2 linked regions of the Drosophila melanogaster genome follow. The protein of the gene in region 2 interacts with the protein of the main gene of each other region in a pairwise test. Each region holds a gene or a part of one and is shown on either strand. Other genes may lie near its edges.

Region 1 (5,223 bases), on a different chromosome or scaffold from region 2:
CAGGTCATGCCAGTCGCCATCGTCCACGCGACGTCGCGAGGCTCGCACCTTGGAGGCTCCGGATCCGAGGTCCAAATGGATGTAGATGTGCCCATTCAGCAGCTCAATGGCAATCAAAACGGGCTGATGGATTCAAATTATGCAAAATGGCTCAAGATAACCTAATGAGTAGACTCACGTTTTTGGCCCGTGGTTGCTTGGATCCTGTGGCCAGGACAATGATGCCATTCGGTTCTTTGGTGCGAAATTTGAAGCTTATAGAACTCTGCTTGCCAGTTTCCCAGGGAGGAAGGACCTTTAAAATAACAATCAAATATTAATTCATTACTTTTCGTATTTTCATACAGGTTTCAACTTACCAAATGCGATTCGCGAGTGGTGAAGGTCACGGGATCCTGTGGATCGCCACTGGGGCACTGATATTCCAGATTGCCAGCAACCTGGATCAGCTTGGAACCGCTCTTGGCCAGGTCTATGAGGTTCAGATTAAGCGTATCCGCTGAGAACTCCACCTTGCGCAGGCAGCCCACGAAGTTAGTGTGCACACGGGCACCCAAAAGCGCTCGAGGATTAACAGCACCACCAACGTAAACCCGCGAGGAGGAGAGCATGGTGAACTTGCCAGCAATGTGGGAGTGATCCGTATAGACATCATCCACCACGGTAACCAGCTACAGGGATAAAAAAAACTCCATTTCGAATAAAGAACCAAGAAAATCTATGAACAGTTACCCACCCGACAGAAGCTGGTTATGGAGGAGATCTCCTGAATGCGACGGTGCACGGTGACTTTGTGCCACTGGTGGTCGTCGAAGCGCACCTTTGAGGGCTTTATGTGCATCTCCTGCTTGCCATTAGCCAGACCCATGGTCAGGGAGACGCCTCCATCACGCAGCGCCAGATTTAGATAGTCCGTGCCGTGGCCAGTGTAGAAAAGCAGACCGTTCGGCTGGCGGGTGCGAAAATAGAAGGATATGGCATCCTGGGCGCTCACTATCGGCTCGGCGCCCGTCTGGCCCAAGTCGTAGGAGAGGAACTGTGTACCGCGGAACGTTGCTTCCGATGGCGCCTTCTCCTTCTCACAATACTGGCCATCGTACTCGAGGTTTCGACACTCGCAAATTGGACCGGAATCAGTGGATATGCAGATGCCGCCGTGCTGGCAAGGATCATTCCGTTCACAGGCATCGGTTGTGTTGCCACCCCGAACACCCTGCAGGATTAAAGGATTATTTACCAAATCAGGGATACATATAAATAGAGGCTTTTTTCTTATTATCAATATCATTTAAATAGAATATAAAAAGTTGTATTGTGTATATCAATGACTAATGGACTCACCCTGAGCGGCCTTTCACGGGCGGGCAGCTCTCCGTGATCGCAGGGCACATCGCCGCACTTGATGTCGCGCTGCTGCTTGATCTCCTGGCGCCTGGTGGAGCCGCCCGGCTGGTCCGCGTAGACCAGATTGCGGATGGCGCCACGGAAACGCGGTTCGAAGATAACGGATGGCAGGGCGAGCAGGGCCAGCTTGCTGCTGTACCAGTTGGGCATACCGCCCACATAGACGTCCGAGTTGCTCGCGAACTTGCCGAACTGGAACTCCTTCCCCTTGGTCGATCGCTGCTGGGAGACGCCGTCCACGATGAGCGATGTCTGCTCATCGTTCCGCAGGACCTGCACCTTGTGCCAGTGGCCGTCGTGCAGTTCCCGACCCACGGTGATGATTTGAGCTCCGCCACCAAGGTTATATCTCAGCCGCAGTGCTCCTTCCACCAGCTTCAGTTCGAAGAAGTCGTAGGTGCCGCCGTCGTCGGTGTAGAGAACCAATCCGTTGGGCTGTTCCGTTTTGAACTCCAGTTCGAGGGTCCCATTCAGTCCGGTGTACCACTTGCGGAAGGTGTAGAAGGAGTTTTGCGATCCATCTAGCTGGAATCCGGCGCTGAGCGTCACGAAACTGGCCGCCAGACTGACCAGCAGGGCGCTGACGATGAGCACGCGGTAGGAGCGACGGTATTCCACGACCACGGGAGGCACTTGCTCGCTTCTCCGCCGGCGGCGAGCCTTGTTGAACCGCAAGTCGGGGGATTCAAAGGCGGAGGTGGAGGTGCGCTGGGCGGGCAGGAGCCTCAGCTCCGCCTGATTTCGATTTCGCTGCTGATCCATGTCCATGCTTGGCCGTGTCCTGGCTGTCATGGCCGCATCAGCATAGTTATCCTGATATGTTGCACTATGTGGCGCCTTCATTCACACGCACGGTGGCACTCGGGCTTACCCACACAGAGGCACCTACGCACGTTGCGCGCGTAAACGTAAAGTGTCCTTCTCCCTCTCTCTCTCTCTCACTCGCTGTGTTTCTGTCGCGTATTCCAGTCCTTGAGCGCGAGCTTTTCGCGTGTCCTTGTGTTGGTGTTACTCGGCAATCCGTTTTATCCGCGCCTGCCAAGAGAGAGCGTAAGAGCGCGCGAGAGCGAAAGCTCGGCCACGCGAAGTTGGCTGCGGATGTTAACGGTACACGTCGACTGTTAACGGCACTGCACCGATTATTGCTTATGATTTCGCCTGATTTTTTTGGTCCTTAATGTTCAGCACCTTCAGTTTTCGGCATTTTGTATACTTGATTTGCATAATTTTTGGCAATTAAATTCAAAACGGCGCATATTTTGCATCGATACTTTGTCAGACAACCGTTTCTCCGACCGAGTCGGCTGTATTAGTAATACTGGGGGTTATGGTTGGGCCAAAAGCTCGCCGGATACCCCTGCCACCGCAGTTTGTGGCGCCCACGAGCGCTCCATCGTACATGTACATACTAAAAATCGGAAAAAATTTTCACTGCATATCGCAAATGTAGGCGAAAATTTTTCTAAGCACCTCACAGCAAGTGCCCCTAAAATGGGCGCTTTACTGCGGTTGATTCCACAGCAATCAGTTATTTATGCGTATTGATTGAACTATTGATTGGATACGAAATTAGTTGCAGAGACTGCACACAGATTTTTCAATTACACAATTATTCCTTTGAATTTGCACGATATTCTTGTCGCTCCTGCTTTATGTAACTTTTCGGGCTGGATTTTAGCGCGACGCGTCCTTTTCGTTTTTGTTGGTTGGTTGAATTTATTTTTGCAGATTTTTCGGTTCAATTTCGAGGGATACAAAAATGTTGTGTGTCGAAATTTGCTTAGCAGCGCCTTCCGCTGCTTTTAGCTCCGATATCGATCCGCGCTGCATCCACGACAAGACTGAACTGCAATTTCAAACTTAATTTCTTCGCACTGTTTCCAATGGATAACGAAAGCTCCGCCAGCTTATTCACAAAAAGCCACTGGTGCGGTCTAGGCGACTCGAAAATGGCACTACAATCGAACTGGACAAAGGAGTTTGTACCTCACACTACTGATTTTACATTTAGACAAGTTAAAATCGTTCAGAATTACTGGAAATCTTGAATTTAATGGTTTATATTGGTACTTTGTTGATTTACCCGAAAAAGTGTGCTACGGAAAAGGAAAGCACCGCACGCTTTGAGTGTAGTGTGTGGGAATGCCAAAAATTAAAAGCTCGCTTACTTCGCACGAGGCATGCATATGTGTACTACTAACACACAAACGCACACATAGACACCAGCTGCCCACTCACACATGCGTAATAAGCGAATAGCACGCAGGTTCATAACCTGCACCACTAAAGCGTATTAGATGCCACATTCACATGGATACACACATATGCATGTTCAGCTGTGTGCGTGGGTGTCCTGTGGCCGCACGCACACTCACACACACCAACTCAAGCTGACACCCCCCCGGGCTCACTATCTCCGAGACGACCCGTGTAAATTCCTTGACATTTACTACGCAACTTCGACATCTCGGAGTCGAATTCGATTTGCATTTGCATTGGCAGTGGAATGTGATGTCCCTTACTCTCGATTGTGGGTGTATGTCCTGCCTCTGTCAAATCCCATCACCCTGCTCCTTCGTCCTAGGAGAGCAATTGCAAGGCCGTCGCCTCCATTAATCGTCGTCGCAGTCCAGGCGAACACATTAATTTGAGCACACGAATCACGCACTGACCATTACAGCAGGGACCAGGATCCTGCTATTAAGCACTTACGGTTTTTAATAATATTTTAACGCACGCTAAAGGCTAAACAAATGCCAGCACGTGCTGTCCATTGTCCTTCGGAGTCGTGACGTTCAAGTGGACTAACAAGGACTAAGATTGGGAATGCCAAAAGCTGGGGGAAGAGCGAAAAGCTTAAAATCAAACTGAGCGGCAGCTCTTGAACTTTCAAGGGCTTTTAAACTACCATTATTTTAAAATCTGTGGAGAGTTCGGCATTGTCAAGTAATATTCTTCAAAATGAATGGAAAAATCTTTTAAATTTCAGGAACATTCTTAAAAATGCAAGTGCATCACCCAATGCCTAAATATCAATATGAAAATATTTTTCAAATTATTAAAAAATTAACGATTCTTTTAAAATTAGTTTTTTGGTATATTTACTTTTGATTTAACGGTATATGGCATCATCGCACCTACAGCCACACTAATTCGATCGTTTACTTACAGCTGTTCTTATCAATCAGCTGTTATCAACGGATCTTTATCAAGTGCACTTTACAAGGCGTCGTGTGTAAAGATTAGAATTTGCCAAATATTCCTCTCTGGACATCTGAAGAGCCCTTGAGAAGCAGCTAAGTTTGTTGCCATACTCCAAAATCCCCGTTAGATCCCGCTTACGTAATGCTGGGCAATCTGTGCCGGCTTGTGGGTGCCCGTTCCCCGATCACCAGGCGCTTGCTGCACACGGAGCGGAAAGTTCGTGTGAATGGCTCAGATTTGAACATTGTGGAGAGCGGCAGTGGGGAGCGGAGTCTACTCCTGATGCCGGGAGCACTGGGTTCCTCGTGGACCGACTTTAGGCCCCAGATCGAGCAGCTGCCGAAACTGCTGCCGGGTCACACCATCATCGCCTGGGATCCGCCGGGTTATGGCAAATCAGTGCCGCCGCAGCGCAAGTTCGGCCTTGAATTCTTTCGGGAGGATGCCCAGGCAGCCGTGGATTTGATGCGTGCCCTGGACAGACCACGCTTCTCCATTTTGGGCTGGAGCGATGGGGGCATCACGGCGCTCATAGTCGCAGGTCGCCATGCGGAAGCTGTGGATCGCCTAGCAATCTGGGGAGCAGGTGCCTACTTGAACGCTGACGAAGTCAAG
Region 2 (5,944 bases):
TCCTTAAAAAAAAATGAAATCACAAATGTAACTATTAATCTAAGCGAAGCATATGCCCTTGCCATTTTTATTTTCTTATTATTCACCTGTTTTCTCTTTTCAATACAGCAGATTTTTTGAAAAACATACTTTTGAACATAAGCTGTTTCGTATGCAAGCCACGTAATTGCTGTTACTTAGGAATATATATATACGAATTTTTCTTGGGTTCCAAAAGCGTTACAATACGCTCTGTGTTAAATCTGTGCTTTTATTTTAATTTTCTATTTATAATTTGGCAAATTGGCGATCTCCCCTTACCTTACCTTTTTTTATCTTTCCTGAATTTGTTTTTTTTTTACCAAAACACGAATTATGAAGAGGATTCTACTAACAAGATGAAATATTATTGTTGCGCACTGCAAAAAAAAGGAAAAAATAATGAATAATTCCGTAAGCTGAGAAATAGTTAAATAACGGTTTTAGCAAAATAAAAACGAAATCAAATATTTATATTTTGTTTATTGTTGCACAAATAAGTCCAAGGAACGAGAAACAAGAAACAATTAAGAGTAATATTGTGTGTCGCTTTTTCTAAACGAAATAAAACAAAGAAATCGTCAAGAGAATTTTCAAAATGTGTTTGTTCTATTTTCATTGCTGTTTCATTTGAATTCAGAATTCAAAGTAATTTATACAGAATGGTAATCTGTGGTTGCAAGCTGAATGGGATTACTAGGTTTTTAAACATGAATAAGAATACTCCCGACTTTAAAAAATATTTCTTTTTTTTTAACTGCAAAAAAGCGAGCTAGTTAAAATTGGAATTTAAGTTTGTTTTACTTTATTCAAGATATAATTATAACATTGGCGGTTAACAATATTTGATTTAATAAATATTTAATTAGTTTAGTTACCGATAAACAACGTTCACAATGCCCAAAGGCAAATACTTTGGTGTTTTCTCCCGTTTTTTCGTTTCCTATTGAGAATTTACTGAAGCAAAAGTCCTAAAATTAAAAGGTAACGAGAAAGATTATCATGCCTTTAACGAGTTAGTGGCTACGCGTGTTAATTATTTATAAATGTAATTGAGTATCTGTCCATTTAAGCCATATATTATGTCATTTATATGCCATCATCTTCAGGTCACGGGTCTCACATATCTGTCTGATTTGATTGAGCTCTGTGGGGGAACTCAGAAGCACACGAAACTCCTCCGGGATGTGGATTGTGATTTTTATCTGGGCTTTGGGACCGAACAAACATCGCGAAGCCTGGATCGTATATATATATATAACTCTATATATCTGTGTATATGTTTAGCGGTGTATATGTACGTGTACATTGAGATTCTGATTTGGTTTCATCGCTATTCATCGCCCGTCCTTAGCACTTAGAAGCTAATAATTGAGACTCCATTTGGGCACATGCAGTTTAAGATGCCTTACTGCCGCGCCACCATGTCGAGACCACCCTCCTCTTCCATCTTGGACAGGAACTTTATGGCCCGCTGTGATTGCTCCGTTTGCCTAGCCATGTCAATGAGACCCAGCAGCTTCTTGATGCCAATAAACACGCTGGTCGAAATGGATAGGTAAATTAGTAAATATTTATAGGACTTTTTCTTTGGAATCATATAGCTTACCGTTTTCCGGCCATCTTCTTGCCAATCGCCTGGATTTCGCCCTTGCTAAAGATATCCGTGTTCTCCAGCACGGCCAGAACGTGGTCGGGCTTGGAAAGATTGGGCACGTGGAGCACCGAGGTGAAGGCCGTCAGCATCTCCATCTCTTCCAGGACCTCCCTAAAAAAAAATAAAACAAGTAGGAGTAGTAAGTACTGGGTAATCTCGACAGGGAAATCCCGAATCTCAACACACACACACCTCCTGCTAGATGTGCACAATATGAGCAATTTGCGGCCCTTTGGCGGCTGTTTCTTGAGCAGCACCAGCAGTGCCTGTAGCGTCATATTGGAATATCGCGGCCCAATCGATCCGTAGTCCAGCAGACGCTCCACATTGTCCACCACAATGCAGCTAAGCATGGAACGATACGCGTCGTCGAAGATCTTACGAATGTGCAGGCACTTGGCCGATTCAGTGTAGCCGACCATGTCCTCTGGCGAGCAGACCTTCACGAACGGAAAGTCTGACATCTTGGCAAGCTGAGCGGCCAGTGCCGTCTTGCCAGAGTTGGGTGCTCCGGCCACGAGTACGGAGACCAAGCCGCTAGATTCTGGAGCCTTGGCCTGCTGCACATACAGCATGCCGTCCTCGAGGAGATTGCTAACCGGTGCTCCCCAGTTGATAACACCGCGGGCCAGCATATTGTCGAGAATCTCCTGGGCCGTACCGAATGCCGGCTTAATGTCATGCTCCAGCGAGTGCAGGAAATCATCTCGATTGACCTTTAACTTTTCCATGGCCTCAGGATCAACGGTCACCTTGGCATCGGCCTTGATCAGTCGGTTCATGGCACTCGACTGGGCGGCACGGACCAAACCCTCCAGCTCGGCACCGCTGAAATTCTTGGTCAGCGCAGCGATCTCCTTGTTGTCCACATCGTCGTTAATCTTGTTGAATTCACGCATCCGCTTGGTGTGGATATTGAGAATCTGGACGCGACCCTGCTCGTTGGGCAGGCTGATCTCCATTTGGACCTCGAGGCGACCCGGTCGCAGCAAAGCCTCATCGATCATGTCCCTGCGATTGGTCATGCCGATAACGAGAATGTTGTTCAGCTGATCAACGCCATCGATTTTGGTTAGCAACTGATTGACGACGGTGTCGTGGACACCACTATTTCCGGCCACGGAGCCACGCTGCTTGCAAATGGCATCGATCTCGTCGAAGATGATGATATGTAGTCCACTGTTGGGACCCAGGCGTTTCTCCTCCTCCTCCGCCTCGGCAAACAGACGCCGGACATTGGCCTCCGATTCGCCCACGTACTTGTCCAGGATCTGTGGACCGTTGACGATTTTCGGCTCCCGGGCGTTTAACATAGTTCCGATTTGGCGAGCCATCAGAGTTTTGCCCGTACCCGGTGGACCATAAAGTAGAATGCCCTTGACATGCTTGCAGCCCAGCTGCTCGACCAGTTCCGGTGGGAAGACACGGGATGCGAAGGCTCGTCGAAATATCGAATTGAATTCCTTGTCCAGGCCACCGATGCCCATTTTGCCAAAGTCCCAATCCGGGTTTATAATGGACTGGCGGACCACCTTGCCCTTGCTCTTGCCCTGCAGATTCAGCGAACTGTTCTCGGCCTTCTCGAACTGCACCACGGTGTTGCCAAGGATGCGGCCGAAGCGGACATTACGCATCGCGGTGTCCTTGCCCTCGCCCAAGCTCTTGGGATCGATGGCCTCTAGGGATTTGACGGCCAGGCCGAGAAGTTTCTTGTCCTTGAAATTGAAGACCAGTGATTGGCCAACGGTGAGTGCCATTCCGGCGAATTGCATGATGAACTCCTTGGCCATTTGATCGGAGTCATAGGGTTCCTGGGAGACACTGCATAGGATGGTAGATAACAATCGATATTACATAATATCCTTGACGCCGTATACTATATATATGCACTCACGTCTTCTTCTGCAGAAAGTCCGTCTCAAAGGACACACAAGTGATGACATCCGAGCTGGCATCAAAGCGATAGGGACGAACCTCCAGTTCCTGATTAATGGACACCATGGCCCACTTTCGTTGGACCAGGGAGAAGCCAACATAGCCGCTGGGCACCTCCACCGTTTTCTCCAGCGCAAAGATGAAGTGCTGACCCGGAGCCGGCGATATGTCCGCATATCTGCAAGCGATGCAAGTGGGAATTATATATATATATATATACAAACAATGGACTTTTATGCCCGTTAGGACCACATACTTGATTTCCTCCGGAAAATCACCAACATTCACTATAGCCCGATTGGTCAGCGAAAGCTCGTCCGTGGGACATTTGGTGGCCTTCAAAATCTACGGAAACCATTATAAATCTTTAGTAACTAGTCAAAAATAGTGCCGTAGTGCCTATAAATATTGGTATTTCAAACTCACATAAGCCATTTCTTTAGATTCTTGCTGATTTTCACGGGGTTGTTTAGAATTTGACAAAAATCAATAATTATAATCCAATGGAAGTACTTTAATGGTCAGAAAACGCAGCTTTGTGTGCGAATTAACGTTTGATATTTGTTTACAGTATCACTGAAACAGCATAACTATATATATATATATTAATTTTTGAACGAATTGTGAACTATATCCTTTCTGAACTTTCAAGGAAGATGTGATCTAAAATTTTATTCAGCACATGCGCCTAGGAATCCAGGGCTGGCGAACTTGTTAGTACATCCATATGGGATTTGGTTTTTAAATATACGTTTCTTTTGCCAAGTTTAATAACTAACGACTCGTATTTGCATGATTTTTTTTTTTAATAATAATAATTAAATTTATAAAGCAAGCGGTTGATTTTTTAAATTGGTAGAGTGCTCGAGAGCTCTTTAATATAAAAGTTGTATATGTATAAATATTAATAAATTCTCGCCGGGCTTTTACTAACAAAAAATGTAATCATTTAATTTTTTAAGATTTTCCGGTAAGAGAAGTCTTAAATTGCTACCGCATTTATACCAGAAAATTCGTGGTCCACAATAATCGATTTATCGATAATATCCGACTGAACGAAAATTCAAATCTAGTGTGCGAGGAAATTTAGAGACGAAAGTTTACGTATTTAAGCGTCCAGTAGTCATTGAGTTAAGTGTAGCTACCTGATTCGGATAATTAAGTACTTTTACTTTTTTGGGAGCACAACAAAATTTTGTTCTCGTTCTTACTTTTACACAGCAAAATTTTATAATTTTTTAAAATTTTTCTGCCGGGCTGTTCGACGAAGCAAAATCAATTTACCAGTACTACGACGGTGAGTGACGATGCCAATCGCTAACTTTCTGTACACACGTATGTTACCATTCCGAGAAAGTTTCTAGATAACAAACACGGCCATTGCAGCTTACTTGTATAATAAAACACATTTCTAACACGCTTTTTACACGACAAACCGCGGTTCGATGTCAAAAGTTCGATGCAATAAGATCGACCACTGCTTGCTGGGCGCAGTTCGCGGCATTAAGCCGCCCTATCGCTCGGTGCGTAATGCCCAAGACGGCGTGATTAGCACCTTCCTGGACAAGTACAGTAGGCCCAATTATTTTGCCATCCGCTTGGTGATACCCGCCGAGTTGCCACCCATCGATCTGGCCGAAATACTTATGGACATGCTAAAGATGCAAATATTGCGCCGCAAGAATTGTATCGCGTCGTCCAATTGGGTCAGGATGAAATATATATGTCAATACGGCAGCAAAGCCGATGAGACGTTCATCATGCATGACAGTGCCATGAGAAAACTGCAGCAGGCCATTGAAGAGCTCACCAATCTGCTCGATCAACTGAAGCTGGCGTATGAGCCCGTTTCCTATGGACGGATAGCCGTGCAGGCTCAACAGTTGGATAAGCGGGCCCAGATATGGCAGAATTTGCTCAACGGCCGCAATGAGCAGTTGGAGCGCCGTTTAGCTCGGGACATTTCACTCCCATATCCTCCTGCAATAGATGCCCGCATGCGCATTTCGAAAAGTTATCAAGTTATCAACCATATGCGCACTTGGCGTTTCGGCTAAGGTCAGCAAATTAGAATTTGGTCGAATTTGTTTGTATATCAATATGGTCACTAAAGATGCTGCTGTGATATTTTACCTTGCTTTTGGATATATATACATTTCTTTGGATAGCATCTACCTGGACTGAGACGTTCTACTGTCATAGTGATTCTGATGTCGTATGACTTCTATATTAACTTTAAATTAATCGAGTGCAACGCATGTCGAGATTAATAAATAACATATCAACAACAAAACACAAACTTTGACTTACCTCCGCGCTGCCCGAATTGCAAAC

Evidence for each region.
Region 1: the proteins of comt (region 2) and Nrx-1 interact in a two-hybrid assay, tested with the Drosophila melanogaster proteins (one study listed by BioGRID).

Annotation. Positions count from the first base shown.
Region 1 is NT_033777.3:22,467,509-22,472,731, reverse strand, and holds the start of Nrx-1 (neurexin 1), read right to left. Parts: upstream 3,255-5,223; 5' UTR 2,248-3,254; coding exon 1,342-2,247; intron 1,214-1,341; coding exon 737-1,213; intron 672-736; coding exon 360-671; intron 296-359; coding exon 179-295; intron 124-178; coding exon 1-123. Other genes in the region: CG5377 (uncharacterized protein), read left to right, coding at 4,750-5,223. UniProt on the Drosophila melanogaster protein: Neuronal cell adhesion protein involved in synapse formation, development of synaptic active zones, synaptic regulation and visual function. Plays a role in cell adhesion between the pre- and the postsynaptic cell.
Region 2 is NC_004354.4:13,257,347-13,263,290, reverse strand, and holds comt (comatose), read right to left. Parts: upstream 4,271-5,944; 5' UTR 4,046-4,270; coding exon 4,037-4,045; intron 3,956-4,036; coding exon 3,867-3,955; intron 3,789-3,866; coding exon 3,570-3,788; intron 3,497-3,569; coding exon 1,868-3,496; intron 1,787-1,867; coding exon 1,628-1,786; intron 1,560-1,627; coding exon 1,427-1,559; 3' UTR 803-1,426; downstream 1-802. Other genes in the region: CG15742 (uncharacterized protein), read left to right, coding at 5,056-5,667. UniProt on the Drosophila melanogaster protein: Required for vesicle-mediated transport. Catalyzes the fusion of transport vesicles within the Golgi cisternae. Is also required for transport from the endoplasmic reticulum to the Golgi stack.